Regions from separate parts of the Mus musculus genome. Here region 2 is reported to be linked to region 1. Evidence: microRNA targets listed by miRTarBase, many of them from high-throughput screens and not tested one by one. Region 1 holds a microRNA gene; the other region holds the end of a gene's coding sequence.
The links. The annotated mature microRNA mmu-miR-339-5p reads UCCCUGUCCUCCAGGAGCUCACG and lies in region 1 at 3,567-3,589, opposite strand. An mRNA with a match to its seed (bases 2 to 7 or 8) in the 3' UTR can be bound and repressed. Matches are read on the target gene's strand: a 7mer-m8 pairs with bases 2 to 8, a 7mer-A1 pairs with bases 2 to 7 and ends in A, and an 8mer does both.

Region 2: miRTarBase lists Ramp1 as a target of mmu-miR-339-5p. Seed matches in the 3' UTR shown: 7mer-m8 at 883-889.

What each region holds. Positions count from the first base shown.
Region 1 is chr5:139,366,142-139,371,213 of GRCm38, forward strand. It overlaps Mir339 (microRNA 339), which reads right to left and starts at 3,604; the gene lies at 3,509-3,604. All of the region lies in intron 2 of 3110082I17Rik (RIKEN cDNA 3110082I17 gene), which reads right to left.
Region 2 is chr1:91,223,012-91,228,076 of GRCm38, forward strand. Ramp1 (receptor (calcitonin) activity modifying protein 1) reads left to right here. Exons shown (of 3, transcript NM_016894.3): 3 at 95-2,185. The coding sequence ends at 350. Among named protein-coding and RNA genes, the nearest start is that of Ube2f, 25 kb to the right of the region's middle.

The DNA of each region.
Region 1 (5,072 bases):
CCACCAAGCCTTTGCCTGCTTGCTCATGTCAGCAACTCTTTTAATCCAGCAGCGGTTCTCAACCTGTGGGTCACAAACCCCCAACCAATGGGACCGCCCCGCCACCCCCCGCCCGCTAGTCACATTACAGTTCTTGATAGTAGCAAAACTACAGTGAGGAAGTATTAATCAAATTAATTTTCTGGAGGTGGGGTCACCACAACATGTATCAAAGCACTGCAGCATCAGGAAGGCAGGCTGAAAACCACTGCTCTACAGTGACCGATCACAGTGTTCCCCCGAAATGCCTCCCGCCCCAAAACCTAACACTGCCTTTCCACTGGATCTCTGAGGGGGATCATGCTGGCCCTTGTGGAGACTGTAGAGGGAGGTCTCTATCTGTAGCCACTGAAGAAACCACATCCCAGTGCCATCACTCTGTCGTTTGGGATTTGACAGAGAGAGAAAGGACACATCAAAGTTAGGCAATGGGAGCTGGGGCTGGGGCTCAGTTGGTACAGTGTTTGCCTAGCATGCAGACACTGGCTTCTAGCCCCAGCATTGCATAACCCAGGCAACGTGGAACACTTGCCCATCCTAGTACCGCGTATTGGCGGTGGGATTCCAAACACACACCGCCACAGTCAGCTTTCAGGGGGCTCTCATGGGATCTGACCCCGGTCCTCCTGCTTGTCGGGCAAGCGCTGGACTGACAGCCGTCTCTCCACCTCCTGTTTCTTTTTTGTCGTTGTTGTTGTTACTTTTTAAAATATTTACTTATGTGCATAGATGTTCTGCCCACATATATGTACACGCATGTGTGTGCCTGGTACCCTCTGATGTCAGAAGTGGGTGTCAGGTCCCCTGAAACTGGAGTTATTGGAGAACGGGATGGTTTGGTCACATGGGTACTGGTGTTGAGACTGGATCCTCTGGAAGAGGGACAAGTGCTCTAAACTGAGACCCCCATCTTTCCAGCCCCCTGGTTTTCAAAGAGGAACTTGGTACGTGGCCCAGGCTGGCACTTCTCCTGTCTCTGTAGCCTCTGGAGTCCCGGGATTAGAGCTGCCCTCTTTTCCAGCTCTTTTTTAAAAGAGAGGTAGGGTGTGGCACACACATGCTGGGTGGAGATGGCTCGGTGGGTTAGAGCACTTGTTGCTCTTACAGAGGACCTGGGTTTGGTTCTCAGCACCCACATGGTAGCTCTCAATCATTTGTAATTGTAGCTCCAGAGGGCCCAAAGTCCTCTTCTGAACTCTGGGTACATATGTAATGCTCATTCAGGCATGCATATAAAACATGCACACTGGCCTGAGCGAATGCTGCACCCACGGAGGGTCCTTGTATGGATGGTGGGCTCAGCTCTTTGCTGTCCCTACCAAAGCCAAGGAAGGCTGACACTTTGGGGCCAGTGCAGCATCAGCAGTCTCCCAAATGGCACACCCTGAGGGTTCCTCCACCCACATCTCCATCACCACTCATGGTTTGCACTGATCCAGGGCTGGCGGAGCAGGCAGCCTCTGTCCCATGCTAACAGGCAAGGCTTGCTGGGTGACTCTGGAGATTGAGAAGAAAACTGGACCATCTCCCAACAGCCTTGGTAGCTAAATTCAAGACTGCCTGGTGTCCATGACAGGGCACAGCCTGTGTGTGTGTGTGTGTGTGTAGGTTAGCTGGTAAGCTGACCTGGAATTATAAAGCCCAGGCTAGCTAGCGTCCCCTTAGGGGCAATCTTGCCTCAGGCTCCCTGAGTTCTGGATGTTGAGAAGAGTCCTGGCCAGGCATTCTGAGCCACACTGGTAAGGGGAGTCTGGCCTGCTTGTGCCTGTTGCTGGTGAGGAGGCTTAACTCTACCATCTGTAAGCAGGGGCATCCTGGTGAGTGGGTGTTTTCTGCCAGCTCAAAGACTCCAGGCGGCACTTTCTCCCTTGCCCTCACCAGGCTGTGTGTAAACCCAGGACCAACCTTGAACCAGGGCAACTGCGTGGGCCTGCTTCTCTTGTTTGTTCCCCAGGTTTAATCAGGAAGCCCTGGTTGAACCTTACTGTTTTTGAAGCCTCAGGCGCTGAGGAGGCACACAAAGGTGGGTGCTGCAGCAAACCGCAGCTTCAAGCACCCCACCACTGCCCCTCCCTTGGGTCCCATGGGGGTAAAAGAGGCCTTCTGTGTAGGAGGAAGGGCAAGGGCCCACTGTCCTTCCCCAATGAAGTTCACAGGGCAGAGAGATGTTCTCCTTCTCCACACAGCTAGAAGGAGCTGCTGGCCCTGGCCAGGGCATCACCTGTGCTGGGGCAGTATGACTGGGGATATTCTCTTAATAGGGATTTGTGCTGTCCTGGGGAGGCAGTCAATGCCCAGCGTTTTTGAGCATCCACTGGGCTCAAAAACATCTTGTTCAAACGTTCTTGGAATTGTGGAGGAGGTTGGTGAATATGTCCTGAGGATTGAAAGTCCAAGGCTAGCTTGAGCTTAGCAAGTCTGTCTCAAACATAAACAAAAACCCCTCAAAGGTTAGTTGTAGACCTTGGCAGTAGAGGCCCTGGTAGCCAGTGCCAGACACACAGCTCTGTAGGACCTTCTTTCTTGGAATGACTGAGTCAGGTGTAAGGATGAACACAGGTGAGGGTAGAAGGACCCTCTGTTGTCCCCACCCCATCATGTGACCAGAGCAGCTGTACTGGGGGCGCAGCTGAGTGGCAGGGAATCCAGTCATTTGACCCGCTTCACACAGGACAGAGTCCCAAGGGCACAGCAGATGGTCGATGGAGCCCAGCACCTGGCCTGTCTATCACATACCCAGGTGGTGCCTCCAAGGCTGGGGCATGGTCTCTGGTCCCTACCACCCCTATACCTGTTCCCCAGACATTGGGAATGGCCTACAAGTGACAGCGATGTTTGTGGGGGGAGACCACGAAGCCTGCTGAGGCTGACGAGCTGGGTGCCAAGGCCAGTGGACTCTGTTCTCATTCCCCAGCCCAGAATCAGCCCTCCTCCATTCAGTTGGAGCCAGCCCGAGTCCAGGGTCCCACAGAGGTGTTCGACCTTGAGAGCCCATTCCGGTTCACAGACCTCAGCAGACTGCTGCCCGGCTATGCACTCACTCGGTAGCAAGATTTCCAGAAGACAAAGCAAAAGCACAACAACATAATGAAGAGAGGGGAGAGAGTTTGTTTTAAAGGAAGCTTTTTATTTGGAGGTAATTACTGAAACACAGTGGATGTAGAAGTGACCCAGGGACACCAACTGCCAGGACATAGGTCACACGCAGTAGAATCAACTGGTGCTACAGAGGACACACACAGAGGGAGAGACCTGGAAGGCTCCCTCCTGGCTCCTCTCCCCTCCCCCTCAGTGTCTGCGTAGGTTAAGATGATTAGGACCCCAGAGGGGTCAGTGCCTTGCGTCACCGCACAGAGAAACCAGAGTCCCCTCCATCCACGGAACAACCTGCAGATCTGCACAATCGAGTTCAAGAAGGTACAGCATGAACAGCCAGCGACTGAGCACCCTGGTCTGCAGGCAAGGGTCTGTGGACAGTGCAGGGGTGGACACCGGCTCTGTCGCCGAGGCGCTCACAGGCAGGCATACGTGAGCTCCTGGAGGACAGGGATAGTGGCCACCCCGTCCAGCTCTGCACAGCTGTGCTCTCACCACCTTGGTGCCAAGGCAAGGGTCACACCCACCTAGGGATCCCCTTCTAGATATGACTTTTCAAATGCACAAAATGTCACTTAAGCCCCATGCTTGAAAAAGACAAAGATGACAGATGCGGCACCCTGCCTCCTCAGTGACCTGAATGGCGGAAGTGAGCAGCAGATCTGATGTATCCCTGAGAAACAGGAGACTGGGCCATCACCAGCTGCCACAGGACACACGAATCCCCAGAGGTGATGTTGTCACCGCCACCAAGCCCAGGCTCTGTCCAGGCCACAGGTCCTTCTGCAGTCACGGCAGAAACACCCTGTGTCACTTACTTGGGGGTTAAACACAGGCTAAAGCCTAAGTCTTGACCTCAGGCTGCCCAGAGAATTAACTTTCTCACAGACTCCAGCACAGACCACAAGGCCTCTAGGCTGTGAGTCCCCGACTATACATCGGTTTTCTTGGCTCTCTGGCCTCAGCTCACCTGACTCAGGCTGACTGGCCCCACCAACAAGGTTATGAAGGTCCCATGGGTTTTCTAGGTCTAACCTCTCCCACTGCTATCTCACATGTCCCCAGTTCCAACACAGGAGCAGACAGACCCCAGGAGCTTGAACAGGGTGCAGATTTCCTTGACTAGGCTGAGGGGCTGGCTCCAGAAGATAAAACTTCCGTCCCTTTGCCTGCAGATCACAGGAACTGGTCCCAGCAGCTCTGGCACAAGTTTAAGTGGGAAGCCCAACTCGGCCATCAGTGAAGCTCCTGGTCCAAGAGCAAGGACAGAGTCAGCCCCTGCCACCTGAATCACGGGCGTGAGGGCGACACACACAACAAGCTCCCACCTAGGTCTACTCAGAAATGGCAGAAAGCAGCCAACAGGCAGGGAAGAGGGCCCTGCAGCGGGGGAGATGGGGAGGTCTCTAATCAGACCCCTGCAGTAGGAGACCCTGAAGTGAAGGAGAGGGAGGGGCTTGCATCTATAACTGAGCATTCCCAGGCCAGGAAAAGCCTGCTGACACAAGAACCTGTGTACTGTGCAGAGCCTGCGCTGCGTCCCTGAGCCGAGCGAGACTCAGTCTCATTTCAGCTGCAGTCTGCCTCCTTCGCCCTAGCTGGAGGCCTTCTTTCTAGCCAGGGCCAGGTACCCACATCCCCTTCTCTAGAGCTTCCCGGCATGCCCACCACCCAGGGATGCTTGTTCTAGCCTGGTTTCCACGTGCCCCACTCCCAATTCTATTTGAGTGTGCCGGTAATCAAAATGCTTTTGATTTTGGCTTCCTCTGGTAGAGCAGCTGTGTTCACACATCCCAAACTGCCTAGTGGACCCCCAAGTGACATTAAGGTCATGGAAGCTTTCTTGCTGTGGCCAAGGAAAGGCCATTTCTCCTGCTACAACGGGCCCAGCAACCACCCTGCAAGCAAGGTCAGATGTCTCTGCTCACCTGGGTAAG
Region 2 (5,065 bases), not on the chromosome of region 1:
TTTAGAGTGGGGGAGGGAAAGGACTGCTTTGCCTCTGTCCAGACAAAGCTGAGTCCCAGCTGGGTCTCCTGACAACCTCTCTTTGTATCCACAGGAGCTATGGGGAGCTCACTTACTGCACCAAGCACGTGGCGCACACGATTGGCTGTTTCTGGCCCAATCCGGAAGTGGACAGATTCTTCATCGCTGTCCACCATCGATACTTCAGCAAGTGCCCCATCTCGGGCAGGGCCCTGCGGGACCCTCCCAACAGCATCCTCTGCCCTTTCATTGCGCTCCCCATTACGGTCACGCTGCTCATGACTGCACTGGTGGTCTGGAGGAGCAAGCGCACAGAGGGCATCGTGTAGGTATCCCAGGTGATGAGGGATTGGGGAACCATGGGCCTAGCCCAGCAACAGCATCAGGAGCAGGTCCCACCTTGCATCCTGCTCTAGCCTAGTTAGCACAGGACTTGAGAGTGGCTCTGCATTAAGCTGAATATGCCCTAGCCAGAGGCTTCTAGCAGGGGAGCAGGGGCCTGCCTCTGCTTACCTCTGAGATTGTTCTAAGCACCAGGTCTCTGGTACACTTCATCACCACTGTGGGCATTCTGAACTCCAAGGAAGACTGCACAGATGTGTTTGTAGATGCACAGTTTGTGATTAAAAGAGTATTCTTAAACCTGGGAAGTGTTCTGTCTGGGTACAAATAACCTATACAGGAAATCAAGCCACTCGTGGAGATCTGTCTTTTGCTGAGGAGTTTATCGCAGGGTCTCTAACCAGATGACACCCAGTCAAAGATCCCCTGAGTTTGTTGAGGGGTTCCCAAATGATTCTGATGCCCTTGGCCTCTACTGCATGGTCCCTGCTTTCTTTTTGCCTTTCTTGGGTTTTTTGAGACAGGGTTTCTCCATGTAGCTCTGGCTGTCCTGGAACCTGCTCTGTAAACCAAACTGGACTTGGACTCAGAGATCCTCCTGCCTCTGTCTCTCAGGTGTGCACCACCACTGACTGGCACAGCCCCTGCTCTTAGTACTTGGAAATAGTCATGAATTAACAACTAGCGAGAGAGAATGCCTACCGTGAGCCAGAAGCTTCGGCTGAGTAGCACGTGAAGAGGGTGCTGTCTCTGTGTCCCTTCCCTAAAGGTCACCCTGTCTTCTCTGAGAAACCCTAGTGCATAGGACAAGTGAAGGCCAAGAGGTGCCAGGGATGTGACCTCCTCCTCCACTCAGCACTGTCCCTTCTGTCCCTGGGAAGCCATGGACAGTAGTGACAGCATTAATCTGAAAAATAGGGTTGAGCTATGGCAGCGTGTGCCTGGAATCAAAGCACTTTGGGGTGTTGAGGTAGAAGGATTGCTGTGAGTTTGACGTCAACCTGGGATTTATAAGCCTGTTTATAAAAAAAAGAAAATGAGGGGGAAGGGTGGGGAAGAATGAAGAAGAGACAGAGGAAAAATGCAAAAGAAAATAAGACTGGGCTCATTTGTGACCTGAACTGGAGACCAGAGACCAGCCTGCCTTCCCGGACTTTGACATGGAAATCCAAAGGATGGGAAAACAAGACATGCATAAGTCACAGAATCCAAAAGCTGCAAGAGAACCAGGGAGCTGACTTGGGAGATGAAGCTGACCCAGTGCCTCGTTCCCGGAACTGCGCATACTAACAAGTTCTCAGGGTTTCCAGTAAACCAAGAAGGCTGGGGTTTGAGGTCATCTGCAGAGCGTGGCCATCCTGTGCTCAGCTAAGCAGGGGGACAGGCAAGGGAGCAGTGAGCCCAAGACCCCTCACACATGACCCCTCTCACAGGATGACTGCTTGTACACCAGCCTTCCAGGGAAGCCTGGTCCGCTGGGAGTGGATCTCCATCCATTCCTCAAAAATGAGCATTAGCGGTATCCTCCTGAAAACAAGTCAGAAGTGTGGAGCAGAAGTCTTGAGTGTCTGTTTGCAGTCATTTCTCTTGTAGGAACTCATCCCAAGTACATAATTACCATGTGCACAAGGGCCCGTGGGGACCAGGAGCGGAAGAGAGGAGACACCCTCGATGGTCCAACTGGAGGACTGCTCCATCAGATTAACTCCAGATGATGGAAGGCAATGGTTTCCTTAATGGCGTCCTTGGGGGTGGGGGGGGGGGGTTCCCAGTGTGTGCAGTTCATTGAAAATGCAGATTTTAAAACAGGAAATCAAGGTGACCTTTATGCTGTGTTTGTTTACACACAAAGTTCCTTTCCCCAGGCCACATTATATTGGGGGGACGTCCTGTAATAGGGCTCTCAGAAGACAGAACAACACTCTCAGTTCTGCATCTGGCTGCCACCGTCCCAGCGGATGGGCATCACTTCCCGGTGAAGGGTGATATGGTCAGACCCCAACTGGCTGTTCTAGCTGTGTGTACTTGAACAACTAATTCAGCTCTGGTAGCCATGGGGGAGATGACCTGGCATATGCAAGCCCTCTGCCTTATCCCAAGGATGGTGTTTGATCTCCTGAAAGACCAAGTGGCCAGTCAGAGGAGCCTCATCCTTAGGGCAAGGCAGGAAGCATGTTCCCAAGGAAAAACTAGCAGTGACCCTCTCCCTCTTTCCCACCTCAAGGCAGGGCTGCTTTGTGTAGCCCTGGCTATCCTGGAACTATCACACACACACACACACACACACACACACACACACACACACACTTTTTTTCTCAAGATAGGGTTTCTTAGTCCTGACTGTCCTAGAACTAGCTCTGTGGACTAGGCTGGCCTTGAGCTCACAGAGAGATCTGCCTGCCTCTGTCTCCTGCATGTGAAACACATTTAAAAAAAATTCAGAACTTATGTGTTTATGTGTTTGAGCATTTGGCCTACACATATGTATGTGCACCATAGGCCATTGGAGGTCAGAGTAGGTATCAGATGTTACAGATGGCTGGGAGCTGCCATGTGGGTGCTGGGAACTTAACCCAGGTTCTCTGCAGGAGCAGTGAGAGTGTTTAACTGAGCCATCTCTCTAGCTCGGAGAAGCTTTTCTTGGGGGGTTCACCTGTGTGGTGAACATAAGAAGACCTGCAGCCCATCATTTTTAAAACTATTCAAAACAGCAAATTCCTTATGGGACTAAGCCTAGACGGGCTAAGGGGTTGCCGACTTTACTCTGTCTATTCACACGTTAGAGACAGAAAGTTCCGGAGACAGGCAGCTCGAAAAGTGATCACTCTTCTTGAACCCACACCAGCCACACTTCGTGCCTAGCCACCCACCGTGCAGGACTTTCTCCAACACGCTGTCAAGAGTCTGGGGAAACTTGTTCTCCGGTCACCCCTGGCGTTAGGGCAGGAAGTGGGCAGGGTAGCTGGATGTCAAGGGCAGGTGGCAACTACTGTTCGTGTTCAGTACAGGCTGTTATGATCATGTCTGCATTCTACACATGCCCATCCCATCTAAGGCACAGAGACACGTGGAACTCCATGTTTAAAAGGGAGAACAAGGAGATGGCTCAGTTAGTCAAGTGTCATGCAGGCGTAGAGACCTCAGTTCAAACCCCTGATTCCATAATAAAAACAAAACAAAACACAAAGAGGCTGGGAGGTGCCCACTGGTAATCCCTGTGCAGGAAAGAAAGAGACAGGTGACTCTCTTGGGCTCACTGGCCAGTGAGCCAACCCAAACCAATGAGACTTCCATGTGCATATCTGTGGCGTGTACAAAGGCTTCTAGCAAACAGCCTGGATCGAATCAGACGCCAGCTGCAGTGAGGAGGCAAGCCAATCAAATCAGAGGCCAGCTCACCAGGGGAGAAGCAAACCAATCAAATCAGAGGCCAGCTCACTTCTGCCAGTGGGACAGCAAACCAGTGGCTCCCTGCCCCTTGGTTTCCTACCTACCAAGGGATGACTATGGGCCTTACTTCAGTATTTGCAAGGAGAGCCCTTGACTTGCCCCAGCACTTCACAAACGTTCTGTTCACTTTGGCCACAGGGACTCAACTAGGCACAGGGACCTGTGAATGGACAACTGCAACTGTGACTGACAATGCCCCACGACCACCATACACGCACACACACAAACACACACACACACACACACACACACACACACACACACACACACACTTCTGCCTCTCGATATGTCCTTTTCTGTTATCCACAGGCTAAGCGGTGAGTGGCTAGAGAACACTTACTGGCGGTAACAGTAGGAACTACCAAGTGGACACTTTCTTCCCTTCTGCATAAGACCGGAAACACTCCCTGGAGCTGCATCACCTCACAGGCCCCAGCTTGGGAGAAACTTGCTTTCTCTCAGTTCTCCAGGCTGGAAGCCTGACCTCCAGGTGTCAGAAGGCTTGGCTCTCCCTCTCTGGGCTTGCAGATTCCAGTCATGGGTTAGGGCCCACCCAGTGACATTGCCTGGCCATAATTACCTCTTTAAAGACCCTCCCTTTAAGTGGGGATCTGAGATCCTGGGACTTAGGGTCTCAGCATATGAATTTGGGTTGGGGAGTAGGGGGGCGGACAATTTACCCATGGCAAAACCCTGTCTCCCCAACGGCCAGCTGGCTCACTGCAGCCAGTTAAATCGGTTATGGGCCGGTGTCACAAATCTCCATGAAAACTAGGGGTAAACAACTCTGGCCAGAAGTGCTGCAGAGACATCATTGCAAGAGGGAACAAAAACCTGCTTCTCATCAAAGCCCATCAGCACACATTCTTGTTGGGAAACGCCAGGCTCAATTAGGAAGGCGGGTGGTGGGGAGGGTCTCCGGGGAGACTCCTCGGAAAATTCCAGAACCCGTCTTCCTGGCTTTCATTTTGTCTCATTTTCAGAAAAACAGGCAGTGTTCCTCTCCTGCTGCCCTGTTCCTGACTAGATAACGTTTCTTGTTCCTGAGCTGATAATGTTTCTTCCCCGCCCTCCACGTAGACACAAAACAACAACAACCACAAAAATACAACGAGATGAGGGTGTAGGGGAAAAAAGAGAAAATTCTTTTTCTTTACTTAACTGGGTCAGCTGTCGGGAAAGCAGGGGTTGGGGGCGGAGATTGTTCAGGAATGTGGAGGGGGTCTGTGGATCTGGAGCGGGTTGGAGGAGA